Caenorhabditis elegans: one gene and its partners. The protein of the gene in region 2 interacts with the protein of the main gene of each other region in a pairwise test. Each region holds a gene or a part of one and is shown on either strand. Other genes may lie near its edges.

The links.
Region 1: the proteins of nhr-91 (region 2) and uev-1 interact in a two-hybrid assay, tested with the Caenorhabditis elegans proteins (2 studies listed by BioGRID).
Region 3: the proteins of nhr-91 (region 2) and syd-9 interact in binary tests that used the Caenorhabditis elegans proteins (3 or more experiments, as listed by UniProt).

The regions. Positions count from the first base shown.
Region 1 is NC_003279.8:14,788,310-14,791,479, reverse strand, and holds uev-1 (Ubiquitin-conjugating enzyme E2 variant 1), read right to left. Parts: upstream 1,237-3,170; 5' UTR 1,210-1,236; coding exon 1,206-1,209; intron 1,148-1,205; coding exon 1,002-1,147; intron 953-1,001; coding exon 683-952; 3' UTR 546-682; downstream 1-545. Other genes in the region: hinf-1 (C2H2-type domain-containing protein), read right to left, coding at 17-422; F39B2.3 (15-oxoprostaglandin 13-reductase), read left to right, coding at 1,998-2,349, 2,433-2,515, 2,711-3,170. UniProt on the Caenorhabditis elegans protein: Involved in protein ubiquitination, but has no ubiquitin ligase activity on its own. The uev-1-ubc-13 heterodimer catalyzes the synthesis of non-canonical poly-ubiquitin chains that are linked through Lys-63.
Region 2 is NC_003284.9:15,307,353-15,315,392, forward strand, and holds nhr-91 (Nuclear hormone receptor family member nhr-91), read left to right. Parts: upstream 1-2,022; 5' UTR 2,023-2,026; coding exon 2,027-2,187; intron 2,188-2,244; coding exon 2,245-2,350; intron 2,351-2,401; coding exon 2,402-2,490; intron 2,491-3,047; exon of another isoform or gene 3,048-3,341; intron 3,342-4,016; exon of another isoform or gene 4,017-4,151; intron 4,152-5,310; coding exon 5,311-5,406; intron 5,407-5,474; coding exon 5,475-5,527; intron 5,528-5,578; coding exon 5,579-5,736; intron 5,737-6,012; coding exon 6,013-6,416; intron 6,417-6,464; coding exon 6,465-6,716; intron 6,717-6,889; exon of another isoform or gene 6,890-6,958; intron 6,959-7,007; coding exon 7,008-7,113; 3' UTR 7,114-7,542; downstream 7,543-8,040. Other genes in the region: glb-28 (Globin domain-containing protein), read right to left, coding at 7,632-7,662, 7,713-7,904, 8,032-8,040. UniProt on the Caenorhabditis elegans protein: Orphan nuclear receptor.
Region 3 is NC_003284.9:7,216,275-7,221,314, forward strand, and holds the start of syd-9 (Zinc finger protein syd-9), read left to right. Parts: upstream 1-1,995; 5' UTR 1,996-2,193; coding exon 2,194-2,331; intron 2,332-3,902; coding exon 3,903-3,953; intron 3,954-4,069; exon of another isoform or gene 4,070-4,301; intron 4,302-4,698; coding exon 4,699-4,825; intron 4,826-4,871; coding exon 4,872-5,040. UniProt on the Caenorhabditis elegans protein: Plays a role in regulating synaptic function, probably by modulation of endocytosis. May be dispensable in muscle for normal locomotion. May be involved in post-transcriptional mRNA processing, in parallel with unc-75.

The DNA of each region.
Region 1 (3,170 bases), on a different chromosome or scaffold from region 2:
TCTGAATATTAATTACCTTGTGGATCATCCGACGATCGTTCACACCAAGTCATTGGCAACCAATGATTCATAACTTCTTCGCTAAGCTCTCCGCTCTCAGAATCGTTACTCGACGCTCTGGAAGCTCGAGGAGTGTGAGTAGAAAACCTTGTTGCAGACGAGATCGGTGCAGGTGTACGGAAAGAGTCCACAGAATCCTGACTATCTGAGTCTTGACTATCAATCATATAATGTAAATGTTGTTGTGGCTGGTGCTGATGGTGGTGATGATGATGATGTGGTGGTGCTGTTGGTGCGTACAAATTATGACGGGGATCCGGCTCGGCAATTCCAAACGAATTATAGTACGGAGGATGCTGGCTGGATGGTTGATATTGAATGTCGAAATCGAATTTGACTGGTTTCAAATCGGCATATGACATACTTTAGGATAATTGAATCTGAAAAACATGATTGAAATCTCGAAAGAGACAGTAATTGAGCAGGTAGGTATGAAATGCGTTAAAATTACGCAAAAATGAAGAACAAAAAATAAAAAAATCACATTGAAATTTTAAAATTTTACATGGAAATTGAATGGCGAATAATATAATAATTATAAATAAAGTGTGGGGGAAAAGTTCGAGGGGAAAGCTACTACCGGGGAGAGTAAACTGGGTATACAAAAAATCAATAAAAGAATTTAGAACATGGCGCCCTCTGCCGGTTGCTGCAATTTCAGATTCTCTTTGGCCATCATCATGTTCTTGCGGATATCCTCGAGCACGGTCTTGATCATGTAACTATTGCTCCAGTTGCGAAGTGTTGTCAAATTTCGCTTATCAATCACTCCATTGCTCTGATTGACTCCCACCATGTGAACTTTGGTGGTGAAACGAACGGTTGGTGGCTCTCGCGGATAATTCCCGCCGCACTGGATTTGCAGATTGTAGATTCGCGATTCGTATGGAGTCTGAAAGCAAAAAACTAATAATAAAAAATGATTAATTCCGCTGACTCACTCTCGGTGGACCAATGATGGAAGCAGTCCATCTGGTGAGAGTCATATCGCTGTCATCCTCCAAACCCCACGAAATGTTTCCATCTCCCTTGCCTTTTTGTCCTTCTTCAAGTTCTTCCAGCAGACGGAAATTGCGTGGTACATCGACTGGAAAAGAGAAAAATATGCGAAAATAATCATTTTTGAATTTAGAAAGCGAACTTACCCATTTTGAAAGTGCCCAAGTTGCTGGAACGCTGAAAATTGAAATTATTAACAAAGAAATTTGCTTTAAAATCCGAAAAATCAAGAAAAAATCGATAATTTCGTCGGACAATCCGCCTGCTAGCACGGCTTGACGCTCGTTTGCCGCGCGCTCATTCGATTTGTGTGAGTGCCCAGTGGAGCGCGTTTGCTAAGGCTAACTGTGTAGTCCTCTCGGACAAGATCTGTGAACATTGAAATGAAACACTTGGGTTCAATAAAATCACAAGAAAATGATGACAATTTTGTTTGCGACCGAAAAAAAATTATAAAAATTGAATATTGGTTATCATCGTTTCAATCTTTGTTTTGTATTAAAGGCACAGCTGCTAAAAATTGTTTTTTTTTTTTCAATTTTGCTAAAAGAAAATCAATTTTCTGATTTTTTGTTGAGTTCCCGTGCAAATCAATGTCCTAGCTTTTTAAAATTGTTTTTTGTTATGTAATTCTAATCAAATTTTGTCGAATTTTCAGAGATTTTCTGCTAAAACACTAAAAATAGTCTAAAAGTCGATAATTTGATAAACATTTACTCAAACCTTTTACGGAAAAATGAAACAAAAGTTGCAAAAATATAGTAATTTCGCAATTTTCTGAACGCGTACTTAAAGGTACACGGTTTGATTCGGATTGGTCCCGCCACAAAGTGTTACCATAACATTTTTCTCGCTGCGAGACCCATCCGAATAAATCCGTGCGCCTAATCAGTGCGAGTACGCATTTCATATTACTGATAAGTGCCATTTTTAGAACAATGAGCAAATCGATTTGCAAATCAAGCATGCGCGCAGCTGTAGTCCGACGATTCGGAGCACCTGATGTCATAGAAGCCGTCGAGAGTGATATGCCCAGGCTTGAAAAAAACCAGGTTCTCGTTCGGAATTACGCTGCCGGTGTCAATCCAGTTGACACATATATTCGTGCTGGTCAGTATGGAAAACTACCAAATCTTCCATATGTACCAGGAAAAGATGGAGCCGGATTCGTCGAACTTGTGGGAGAAAGCGTTAAAAATGTGAAAGTCGGCGATCGAGTCTGGTATGGATCAGAAGCGGACAGTACAGCAGAGTATGTTGCGGTGAATCGACCATTCGAGTTGCCGGAAGGTAAAAGAATCATTGCGCAACGGGTTACTGTAGCTAGTTGCCCGCGTGGCGAGACCTAAGATATAGCTAAAATCTCATTTCAGGAGTTTCGTTTGAGGAAGGAGCTTCTCTCGGAGTGCCTTATCTTACCGCTTATCGTGCATTGTTTCATCTTGCTGGTGCAAAGGTTTGACTTTTATTTATTATTAAATGGTTCATAGAGAATATTAAAATTTTGGCAAAAACGTATCAAAATTAGGAGGCAAAATCAATACAAATCAATCTTTACAAAGCCAACTTGACCATCTGTTCCATCTCAAACAAGGGGCGGTCTAAAATACGACCATCTGCTGTTCCCTCCCAAAACTAATTCTCTTCTCAGACTGGCGACGTTATACTTGTACACGGAGCATCTGGTGGAGTGGGAAGTGCACTGATGCAGCTGGCTGCCTGGAGGAACATTGAAGCTGTTGGCACTGCTGGATCTGCTGATGGGATCCGGTTCGTGAAGAGTCTTGGTGCACGGAATGTCTATAATCATTCGGATAAGCAATATGTGTCGAAAATGAAAAATGATTATCCAGGAGGCTTCAACCACATTTTCGAAATGGCTGCTCACACAAATCTGAACACGGACCTCGGATTGCTGGCTCCACGTGGTAGAGTTGCAGTAATTGGAAATCGCGCCGAGACCACGATCAACGCAAGACAACTTATGGTTACAGAAGGAGCTGTTTACGGTGTAGCATTGGGAATGTCTTCCGAGGCTGAGCTCTTGGACTTTGGCATCAACATTGTCTCATTCTTGAAGGAAACCGAGTTTCGTCCACTTATAAACAAAT
Region 2 (8,040 bases):
TCCTTCTCCTCTCCTACCTATTCGTGCGTTCTCATTCCGTTTCCCTATTCTCTATTATCTTTTTGCTCAACGAGCTAGCTTATACTACTAGGTCGTTCTACAACCTTTCCTCCTAACCACGATAAGATTAGCCACCACGGTTGCTCGTGCTGCACCCTGATTAGTATCCAACACTCTCTGGGCTTTGTAATCACTCATGTGTATAGCAGCGACCCTCTCACCTTTAAATTTGAATTCGTGTGTGCTGCTCATAGAGAGAAAAGACTCATATTCATCCACGTACCCTTTGCTTCATCATCCGCCTATACCCCCCCCCCCCCCCACAGCTTCTCCCTCCCGCTCACCAATCCCTCCTCCTCTTTCCCCATTTTATGTGCACTTTGAAAATAACCTTATGAGATCGTCCAGTGAAAGGAAATGGAGACAAGAAGAGGCGCCGGTGGAAGGCAGGGGCAATAGGAGGAGAGACCTACTGTCACTCTCGTTTGACCGGCAATAGGCCCGATTGAATGTACGCGGTTTTCACGAATTTCAAGGTCTGACCCACAAAATTTCGTTCGCCCTCCATGCATCTTTCACCCAATTTTGCTTTTGCGCCAATATCCGCGCGCTGTCCCCCCCCCCCCCCCTCCCTCCATCCTTCATCCATTCCGGCTTACCATCGTCTCTCTCTCGATTGTTGTGTGAATGTGTGTGTGACCTACCGACCTACAGTTTAACTTTCTCACTTTGTACTTTCTTGAATTATCCTCCTCTCCTCCTCAACCGCCTTGCGTTTCGTTTTTCTTTCTCGCATTTTCATTTTTGTTCGATTAGTATCCTGGTTACTGGATCAGCGATGTAGCAACAATGTGTTACAAGTTTTGAAACTAGCAAACTAGTTGAAAAAGTCTGGTCGATAGCTTATCACTTTTATGATTAACATGTTTCATTTATTTTCTATATCTGTTGCATTTCCGCCATCGTTGAGAATCGCTATTTTTCTAGAAACTAACTCAATAACTGTCAAAATGATGATTACCACGTTTTTTAGGCTCAAACCAAACCGGTATGTACTATTTCGGACAATAGAAAAACTGTATCACTTTGGAATAATTTTTTTTTAAACCTCACTGTATATTCCTTTGTAACAACTATTTGTATACAGCAGATATATAGGTTTGGTTTCAAGATATTAATAATATGATTAGTTTCAATACTATAGGAACATAAGTTTGATAAGCTTTTTCTCTATTTTCAAATTGAGCAAATTCTTGCAAATAACCGTAAAGTATCTTGCAAGTTAAATTGGTAAAATCTGTTTTTCTGTTCATGGAATGTTTAGGAACAATAATTGATTCTTTTTAATTGTAGCAAAACTGATTTGTCAAACAAGTAACTTTTTAATGTTAAAAACTCTATTGTTATTTTTATTCTCATAAACCTACCACTACAGTTTTGTACCTTCTCAACCCACCCGGCAACGGCTCTCAGTACCAGGCGGTGACGTCCAAATGCTGCCATTTGGCTCTCAACGAGCTCCGCCGCCAAATGCGTGACCTTGAAAATTGGTAGACGAACCCCCCCCCCCCCCCTTCCACCGTCCCGTCATTTGAAATGCTCTTTTGCACACTCTGATCTCACTTCGATAAACTCGACCGGCCCTACCATCCGCGCTTTTTGTACACTGCGATTCTGACTCAGAAGTGAGGAAGATTTTGTACCTCTTTCGAACACACAATTTTACTTTTTTTTTGCTTCAAAACAACTATACAATTATTCTGACTTTGTTCGGTCTTGATAATACATTTATTCACACGAGGGAGCTCATTTCCTATCTTCTTTTCCGTTCTGATTACTATACAATCGCTCAAAAACTGGGTAACAAAAATATTATCGCATTTTCACGACATCTACAAGTCTAAACCAATTGTTCTTCTTTGCTCCCCCTCCCATTTACATACCCCATTATACTGTCCCTACCGTATGTTGCCTGCTCCATCTGCATACATTAATGACCTCTGATTAATGAGCCTCTTTCAGTGCGATGGACGTTGCGGACTCGACATCTGAGACGCCACCTGTTTTTGACCATGACAACTTGGCTCTCGCGGCACAGACCAACTTGTTGCAGTTCTACCTGACACATTTGGCATCCACACTGGTGCCGCCAATGAAATTGGATATGAGAGACTCGATGACTCCAAGGTAATTGCATTTTCCTGAAGATGTGGAGAGCTTAGTTTCAAAATTTTAAATTTTCAGCTTCAGTCAAACCGAAAGCCCAAACTCTGAAACCGACGACTCCACTTCTGCAGCAAACAAAGTTCTATTCTCTATTCTTGGAACTCCAACAACAGACAGTACTTCGGTATGCGAACTGAATGAAAATTATTGAAATTATGTAGTAGAACAATTACAGAATGCCGTTTCAAAATCCAGCAGCAAGCTGTGCTCGGTATGTGGTGACAAGTCAACCGGTCTACATTACGGTGCTGCCACCTGTGAAGGGTATGTGCATTTAGATATTAAAAATACGGAGGGGGGGGGGGGAAGTTCATACTTCGAGCAACAACAAAAAACTTTTTTCATGTATTTTGAAATTTACGCAGTTTCTGCTGTTTTCTGACCTCTGTTTTGAATTGTGGTACTTCCAATTAAGACATTGATGTTAATAGGATGCCATATAATACTATTTCAGCACTACATAATTAACCAAATTTTTTGTTTCAAAATATACATCTGGAATTATCTTTCAATCTGTATCTCTGTAATTAATTAATTAGGCAAGTGTTTTTACTGTTTGATGCTTTGAAATAGTGATGCTTTGAAAATTACTCTAATATAAATATCCATGCCGATTTCATAATTTAATTTAGTTTCACTTCACTTTCTTCCCTTTGCTTATATCTTGTTTTCTATCGAAAGTTTTCATATTGTTATTTTTCTTTTCCCGGGTGGTCAGAAATCTGTTCCGCTCGCCCTCTTCCAGGATCAACATAAAAACTGTCTGGAGAGAAGAAGGGGGAGAGCTATTAACGGAATTAGTGATCGGATCGGGAAAGCGAAAGTGGTGGTGGGGGGCACCACACCAGTGAAAGTCCAGTTGTCAGCACCAGTGCGCTACATTTTCATCCGATGCTGGGGAGGGGATGCTGACGCCGTCGCCGCCGTCGTCGTCAACGTAGACACACGTCCGCCTCGGGTGCTGGAGGGGGGGGGGGGCAGTCAGATTTTGCGGCCTTCAGAATCCGCGATGATGGTCAAGGCCTTCAGCATGACACGACGCACCGCCGAACACCCAGTCAGTGAAATGTTGCGAAGGGCGACGGCCGGCCAAATGTGTCACGCACCTCGACCATTCGTTTCTCACTACAGCGCCCTTCTCGCCTCCCGGTTGACCCTCGGTTTGGAAGGAGGTGAAGTCGGTAGTGGAAGTGCACTTTGAATCGGTTTAGACGGTTTTCTCTAGGTCACACGCACCATAAGAACTTGTTTCTTTTTTTTTCAATGTGTTACTATAAAAGTGATACTATCTGAATAAACCCTAAATCATAAACCCTTAAAAAAATATTTTTTTAACTCACAATTTTTCCATTTACAGCATAAACGTTCCCAAAATTATAGGCGCTCATTGTAAATATTTCATCTCAGCTTGCTGTAAATATTTCTATTTGACTGTACTGTTGTAAAGAACTGTGATTTTTAGTTGATGTCCGTCGAAATAATTATCTGAATAAAAAAAAACGCAATTGACCCGCACTTACGATAACAATCAAGCTATTTCACAAAAACGGGAGAGCTGCGAAAGTTCCCCCGAAAGTTCAGAACGGCCTTCCTAAGATAACAATCAGTGTACCACACCGTACTCAAAGTACAGAGGACACTCGGATAACGATCAAAGTAGGTTTCAGTAATCGACAGCTCAGTTAGAGAAAGTTCAAGTAATACATATTAGTCTATATCATTATCAATCGGACATATTGTCTCTCCGGAAAAAAATGTCGGAGGTCGACAAGGTTTTGTTAGGGAATCGCGTCGGACAAGGTCGGTTCAACTGGTGCCATTTGCGTACCTCTTCTCGTCACCTCTACTTTTCGGGGCCGCTCCTCCCCATCTTACTCGCTGCCCCACCTCTCATTTCTGATGACCACGACCCAATTTAAAGTGATTTTTGTCTTTTAAGTTGACCTTTTGCACAGTTTTCGTAGAGTTTTTTAAAATTTTAATTTAGAATATTTTCTATTTTCAAAACTTTTAAGCTGCCTTGCTGTTTCTTAAATTTATTTAGAAATTTAAGTTTTAACACGAAAATAATAAAAAAAACTTATTTTTATTTCTGTATAGGCTCACGTAACTTTTTTTTGTGCTTAAGTTTTAATGCTTATAATTGTGTGGAACGGTTTTACATTTTTAATCGGAATAAAATACCATTTCTAAGCATAAAAAATGCATGGCATAGTTTGTTTTCTAACAGCGGAATGCCTCGAATTTGACTTAAAATTTCAGTCAACCTATAAATCATGCAACCCATAGATAAAAATTTCCTCGGATGCACTTAGTGCCAGAGTGTCTGATTTCGGTTTGATCTACGCAGGTCTACAAAAAATGCGGGAGTTGAGACGCAGAGCAACTGATTTAGCATGGTTAAAAACGTGCTGACGTCACATTTTTTGGGCAAAAATTTCCCGCATTTTTTCTAGATCAAACGGTAATGGGACAACATGGCACCACGTGCGGATAATCTATTGGTTCAGAAAGCCAAAAAGTAGAAACAAAAAAATAGTCCAAAAAATAAAATGCCACATTAGCTAGAAAAATTGCAACACGTTTTTTTTTCAAGACACCAGTAACTTCTCCCCTTTTTTCGTCATACAACTTGAAAAAAGTTATGACAGACGGAAAATGTGGGTAGGTTGCAAGGGCATCTTAAAGAACAAGGTCACTCGAAGACCCCAAAAAGAGACGTCTCTGTTGCTGCCTCTTTTTTTTTTGCGCATTTCACTTTACTATCATTTTAACCCACCACCTTTTCCTCCCCCACATTTTCTTTTCCGCCGTCTTCTGGTTCTTCTAGTCCGCCACTTCTCACGTCGTCTGATTTTGAATTTTTTTTCCCGCCGTCCGTCTCGTTTTCCAAATGTTTCCACTTGTTTTGTTCTGTTGCATTCATTTTTCTCGATTCTGAAATGTCAACAACTGTCATTTGGCCGCTGGTCAATTGATTTGTTCCATATGCTCCACCTGCTCGTAACTTGTTACTTGTAACCTTGAATTTTCAAATTTTGAAACCCAGCTAGTTCAAAATGCTCAACAACTACTGTATTTCAGGTGCAAAGGATTCTTCAAGCGGTCCGTTCAAAACAAAAAAGTATATCACTGCAGTCAAGACAACTGCTGTGAAATTGACAAACAAAATAGAAACAGGTATGTAAATTCGAAAAATTCCATTCAACAAAAAAAAAGTTCACAATAAACCGTAATTGACCTTCCAGGTGTCAATCTTGTCGTTTCCGAAAGTGCATCAGCAAGGGCATGCTAACCGAAGGTTAGTTTTTCGGCACGGAGAATAACCGCAAAATTGTTTGTCTTTTTGTAGCAGTGAGAGAAGATCGCATGCCCGGCGGGAGAAATGGGAACAGTATCTATAGCAACTACAAGCAGAGGAGGAGTATCATTAGGAAAACGAAAGATTATGTGGAGGAGCAGGAGAGAAGGCCGTTTCAGAGCCTTCCAAGTGGGAAAAAGTTAATAAAGGTGAGTGAGCACTTGCAGAGCGATATGTAGTTTTTTGGCAGCCCCCGACACTTTCGGGGTTTCCATACCATGGTGGCTAGTGGCTCGAGACCGGCGGAACCTCGAAAGTGTCGGGGGCTTCCAAACAACTACATATCGCACTGCGTTGCTCAGCCCCAGCTCTAAATGCGGGGCTGGAGCTGAGCCCCTCGCAGCCCTTTAGCAGCCCTAGTGCATTATGAGCCAGTTAAAAATTTGAAACAAATTATTGCCTTATTCGATTTTGCTATTTTACAGGAACTGGTTGAGATGGACTGCCTAGACCGGCTCATCAACCTAAAAGGACTCCGAATTAATCCATCTGCAAACTGCGATATTGCCCCTGCTTGCAAAAGGTTAACCAGAATAGGAGATGAAATTGTGGAGCAACTTGTTGAGTGGACGAAAACCTTGCCGTTTTTCGACGAACTACCCGTAGAAGCACACACCCACCTTTTGACACAACGATGGGCCGAGCTAGTATTACTATCTGCTGGATACTACGCGTGCTCGGTCTTTACTCCGGACTCCCCCGACACAACAGAAATGATAGACGAAACTGACGAGATCTCATTCACAAACCCACAGGTCAACCTTCGGCTACTTCAAAATCGATTATCACTGGTGCTCGGCAAAGAAATTCCATTGGAACACGTGGCGAAGTAGACTATCAAACTTAACTTTATTTATTCTAAATGATAATTTTCCAGAGAAGCCGGTCCGCTTGTCACCCGTTTCACGACCCTCCTCCATTCGTTCTCAAATCTCAAGGTCTCTCCGGAAGCGTACGTCTGTATCAAAGCTATCACTCTTCTTCACCTCTCCGCCGACTCGACACTTGATAGGAGTATCATCGACAAGGTCAACACGCTTCAGGATCACTTTGTCAAAACACTTCAAATTCATCTGCACCAGCCGGGAGAGGACGCGCAGACGACGAGCCTCGCACAGATACTTGACTGGTGAGTTTTTATTAAAAATTGTATCAGAGTTAGAAAAAATGCATGTTTTCAATAAGTTGATGTGCACCTTTGGAAGCCCACCTGACATAATTTTTAATTGCTTATTCATATCCGTAAAATTTGCTAAGTTGGCAAAAGTGAATAGTTTTCCTAATGATACCTGTCCAGTCACTGACTTTGGTTCTCATTCCAAAATAAATTATAGTCGTACATATTCTGATATACGACATTACTTTAAAAGGCTCTAATATTATATAATCATTCCATGATAAAACGTTCGCAATTTTCCAGGCTTCCGGATTTGCGAAACGCTTCGTCAGTGCTGCTTCATTCAAAAATGTTCTACGTCCCATTCCTGCTTTGCAAGAATCCGCGACGTCTAGTGTTCGACGAGTAGTCTTCCCCAATACCCTCAATACAGCTTTATTTCTCGGTTGTGCAATATAATTTAGTTCATTTTTTCCACTTATTATTCGTTTCTTTTTTTTTTGAAATTCCCCTGCCTCTTTCCAATTCTTCCCACGAAACCAAAAAAGTTGACGTTTTTTTTTTCTTCTCTGTCTCTATCAATCAATCTGTTTGATCTATCTATCATAACATAGACGTGTGGTCGGAAACATAATCAAATAGTTTCTATGATTTTGGATCCTACAGTATCATTTTCTACTACTTTTCTTCAAGTTGTGAATTTCTGGAATAATTTGTGTGCAATTCGTGATGTCTTTGTGTTCTCTCCCCATTCTCTGTTCCTATCTCGTTTCTCATTCACCCACTCTCTCAAACAATTTGTAGTGTATTTTTCTACGAAAGAAAAAAATTTATTGGTTTAACATTTTTTTTAAATTTTACAGATTACAGAATCAGAATTGATACATAAACCATATGTTATGTTGTTGAAACTGCTTCATTTCGAAGTCAGTTATTGAACTCGAACGCCGATCTTCCGCTAAAAAATAAAAATTCCGGAATTTTTGATTTGAAAACTCTGAAACTTACGTCAACAGCTGAACGCGAGGAGTTAGCATTGGTGAGTGGTGAGCCAGGCGAGAAGCATGAGCAAGACGGTCTGCTAGAAATGAAGACATCACCATCCATGCCTTCACCGTTTCTTTATGACGACGCCCCGGACCATTCCATTCGGTGGCGGTGGTTAGCAAGCTTTCGCCAAATTTTTCCCAATGTTTTCCACTGAAAATAAAGATCAATGTAAATTAATGTAAATTAATATTAAAAAATTATTTCAAAAAAAAAACCGGAAAAATCATGAAAGAATAAGTACATCTTATCTCACTAATGTGATAATCGTGCAACTCACGTGATCTTA
Region 3 (5,040 bases), 8.1 Mb from region 2:
TTTCTGAAAAATTCTGAAAAGATTTTACTATGATATTTTGCCAACTGAGTTTTTAACAATTTACCCACTGGCGCTGTCCCACCTCTAGGATTTCAAAATGTTAATTGATAAATTTTGAGAGTAAATTCATGCCGTAAAATAAACAATTCGCACTGAATTAGACACATAGTCTTCAACAATACATGATTAATATCTTCTAAATCCCTTTTTCTGACTGAAATCGACCACTTCCTATTTGGTCAAATTGTAGATTTGGTGAATTCATCAGTGAAGCTGATAGATCACAACATGTTTATCGTCGGACTTGCCGGACAGCAGAGACTAACAAGCGAGAGAAGCAAAACGAGTGAAAAAAGAAAGTGGAGAGAGAGCATAAACACATAGTTTATCTGTATTTCAGAATGTCTCCACAATTCGCCTGCTCTTTCGTCTCTTCATTCCCCTTTGAATATTTTTCTTCTTCTAGCTTCACCAGGTCTCACCAATTTGTCACGTCCAGATCCGCCTACACGGTGCGATGGATAAGTGTTGCAAGAAGGGACACGACAAACTGACATACAGGATGAAGCCCTTAGCACACGTTTTATTTTACCGCTGTTTGGTTTCCAAATTGGAAATGTGAAAATGGGAGTGGAAAGAGGAGAAGAGAAAGGAAATGAAAAGTAGAAGCAGAAATGGTTAGTGACAAGCGCCGCGGCATGCACTATGCTCATGACAGTCATGAGATAGACTACGCAGTTGATCTTTTTTTTGGTGGGAATTTTTTTCAGTATTAAAAATAAAAGTTTTATATTGTGAATTTTGTTGAAACAGCGGCATTATTTTACAAAAGTACGTACGGTCGAGTGTTCAGTCAAGGCCGGTGACCTCTTCACAGGTTTACTGAGAAGCGTAAACACGAACCACATGTTGCAACATACACCAGTCAGATTTTTTGTATTTTTCCAACATCTTTCGTATCGTCCGTTACAGCTTTCCGTTTTTGCGGGTTTTCTAATGGGTGTCAGTTTTCAACCGCACAGGCTCACTATCTTGTGTCTATTCCCTCTCTATCCGCTCATTGATTTTTTTGGTGATTACGGCGCACGGCAACTGTGTACAATTTACCTGCTCGCCTGTTTTCGCCAACTGTCATCGTCATGTTTTCTTCATCTACCGCGCCAAAACTCCCCCTCCTCTCTTCTTGTCGGTTTTCTTTTCGTTTTGTTACTGACAGATCTTGTGAAATCTAGAAATGAAATATTATGAGTTTTTTTGTAAAGCAATTTCTTCGCCCAGATGTTTTACGCTGTTGAGTATAGTTTCTTATTAGTTATATTAAATTAAGTTTGAGAGTGTAATAATGTGTTTGTGAGACAAGCTGAAACATGAAAATTGAATCAAGTAATTTTATTAAACGGATTTAGTTTTGATAGCTAGCTTCAAATACAAAAATGAAACCCGTTTGCAAAAATCTAGTTCTGTATCCATGTTCATTTGTAGGAAATATCCCGAATAATGAATAGTTTTGTGCCGTATCCGGCTGGCACAGTGTGCTCGGCGGAAAAGGCTTGAGCTCTGGTGCTGCTTCTCCTCGACCAACACATTCACTCGCTCCACACTCCCATTCCGACTAGGAAACGAGCTAGCTGTAGACAGACCGCCAAGTGACGAGTGACCGCATGAATCAGAGAGAGCTTCAAGACTCGTCTCGGGATACTGAGTAGGCACCCCATAGCAAGCCAGAACGTTATGCAAAATAGGGCGGAGCCTCCACGTCCCCTGCCTGTCTTTCGTTTTCTATCGTCCACATCGTCGTCGTGGAGCGCCTTCCCTGTTTGGAAAAGAAGACGTGGTCACCCTTCTATTCACTGTAGAGCTCCGTGCCCTCCACGTCCACGAGTTGAGCTCTCTCCGGCTCCGGCGTTTTCTGTCGCTCCACCCCTTAGGAATAGCTCGGAGCCCCACCCCTCTCTCTGTGCGCCCGTCCTGTCCGATCGGTCGGCACTCTCCTCCCCCCTCCGTCCGTCCTTTTCATCGTCTCCTTCTACCAGGAGCACGTTTTACCTTTTCCTGGCACCCATCTATTTTGTGGACAGGGTCCCTCTCTTCACTCCAATCATACTCACTAAATCGTTATTCACAAAACATCAACGTTGGCACAGGTTGAAGAAAAGCTGACGTTAAAGAAAACAGAGTCGTTGACCATCCTGGATGTCTGTGTGCGTATCACCGCTAGTACAAGCAACGATTCTGATGACAGAAGAGAGTCTGACATGTCCTCAGTGTCCGAAGTCATTTTCAAGTACAAAACTCTTGCAACAACATCAGCAAATGTTTCATACCGATAAAGTGAGTCACAGTTTTGCATCATTTTTATGTGTTTTTATTGTCTTATTTGTCGCTATCTGATCCAATAGGCCAAATTCGCTCATTTTCTATTTTTGTGCGCTAACTTTTCGATTATGAAAATCTCGCATCAGATAGGCAGCGCACTTTGATGAATATAAGTACAATTCTAGAACATCAAGTTAGAGTAGTTTTCCCAGTAGCGAGAGTCATATTATAATTGTATTAGAAGATCAGAGAGTATTTTGTTCCATAAACCATATCTGTCGTATTCCATTCGATTGTGTATTCCATTCGATTGTGCAACACAAAAGTTTATGAGCCTATACGATACTGCACAACAGTTGCCCACCCATACCGTATTTCGCCCAGTAGAGAGGCCAGGCGGTATGTTTCGTTAGCGATTGGACAGTTCTACAGTTACACTGCAGCAGTTGGCGCGCATAGTTCGCTTTGGTAGATAAGATATTATCATAAGAATCTAACAAATGCACTCTGTAGTACCGTCTTTCAGTGTTTTATTGAGTTTTATACTCTTTTTTGACCTTAAGTTTTAAATATTTGATTTATACTTTCAAATATTCATTGCATCCACGGTTTATCTGACAAGATTAGAATTTTAAGTATGTTATTATGTAGACTGGTAGCTCATTTAGTTTTGATCCTACTATCAGAAAGTGCACCAGATTAATCACTTGTGTGAACTGCACAGAAAAAGGAAATAGTTAGGACGTAGACCTTGACAACGGAAACCACACCTTTGCTCATGCTCGATCTCGCTTTCTAATCTTATTCAGCTGCTTTGCCACAAGAATGTACTTTTGAAGAACCCCTTGATTGAACTAAGACATCAGAAGCCGGTATGAGATATAATGAGATATTTTTAATTACGATACATTTTACCAAAACAATAAAATCTTAAGAATATTACATAGATACATATAAGCAAGACACTAAGCTTTTTAGATTTTTCTGTAGTGGTTCTGTTGACATTCGATCATAGAGTAGTGGTGTGCACCGCTAACTGCTTCCAGAATTGGCGGGACCTAGTTGTTTACGAGGTGTGTGCTCATTTTCCTCTCCTACATACTTGCCTGTTTTCTCTCATCGAAAATAAGACGACCAGCGCAGCAAGGCACCTGACCTCTGGACCAGCGGGGTTTTCCGGTTCACTCTTTTTCCTGATCTTTGCGAAAATGTCATCTCATCCATTTACTGTACAACATCGCATCTTCCGATATATAATCTGATCGCAGTCGCATTTTCATTTTCACCCAGATGGTTCAATGGTAGTTTTGTGTTTTGTGGGAGAAAGATAGGGGCCAGATGCTTTGGTGAATCGCATCGTTTTCCGTCCGTCTCGCCCACATTGCTTACTATTTTGCCATCGGAAACTTTGTCCCTCGCTCCTCCTCCGGCATCTTGTCGCGCTGCTCTGTCATCTACTTGTTCCTTTTTGTCGGTGCACGGGGTATTTTCCGCTCTAGCGATATATTCCGCCTAGTTTTTTTCCAGTTGAACTATCTTGTCTTTTTCGCCGCTTACTCTTTCTCACGTTCCATTTCCATTTTCAGTCTGTACTCCTCTCATTGAAGTCAACCGATGCACCAGTGGGAATGGATCGAGTAAGTAGACAAAATCAAGATGATAAGAAAGACGCGTCTAATAAAGCCATATATCATGCTCATTTGACCGTCAGTATAGAATGAGCAGAAATAGACGAAAATGCGGGGAAATAACGTGTGGCTGCCATTCCACGCAAATTTAATCATCCGTGTGTTGCGTTTCTGTGCTCCACGCAAACACACTAGAACCATCATGCCCTCCTCGTTTTCAAGGAGCCCAGCCTGCTGCTGCCGGACGGTAATGAAAACCGACCAGTGTTGATTGTTTATGGCTGCCTATCCCCTTCCTTTCCGTTTACTCGAAAAGCTGTAGAAACCCATTGGAAAAAGCATGCACAATAGAGAGTACCAGAGAAGGGCGCAATAAATTTTTCAATCAATTTCGATTCTGTGTGCGCAGTGTGTACGCGCAGACCCACATTTTTCTGATTTGATTCATTTGAAACCAATCTGAAATCGCAAAACCACAAAACCATAGAAAAAGAGCAGAAGCTGGTTGTGAGAACAATCAAACGAACAAGATAAAAGGATGACGTCATTGAATGTGTGCCTGTGTGTGACATATGTAAAAGTATTTGAAAGAGATTAGGGATTAGGACTACAGTTCTTGATAGACTTGTAATACAAATTAAAAATTGAGACTTCATGTCTTATATAATCCGCGAACAAGATATTCAGCTAGGATCAGACCGGTTTCATATACCCATAGCAAAGTATAATCTTTTTTATGAATTAATAATTTCAGGCATTCATATGTGAAACATGCGGGAAAGCTTTTCGGTTTCGGTCCAACTTAGCAGAGCATCGATCAGTACATACAGCATTAAAACCTTATGTCTGTAAATTTTGTGGCAAATCCAGTAGGTTAAAAGGTTAGTTTTTGATTAGATTGATAAAATTAAAACAATTATTTTCCAGGAAATTTAACAAAACACATATTAAAACATCACAAAAAAGAGCAGAACGAAGCAATAGCAAAAGATGATATTATTGTAAAGAAAGCACCAAAAATAGTAACCAAAGATAATGGTCCAACAACAAACGGATCAACACCAACTACCTCCACTGCAACACCATCCGTAATCAC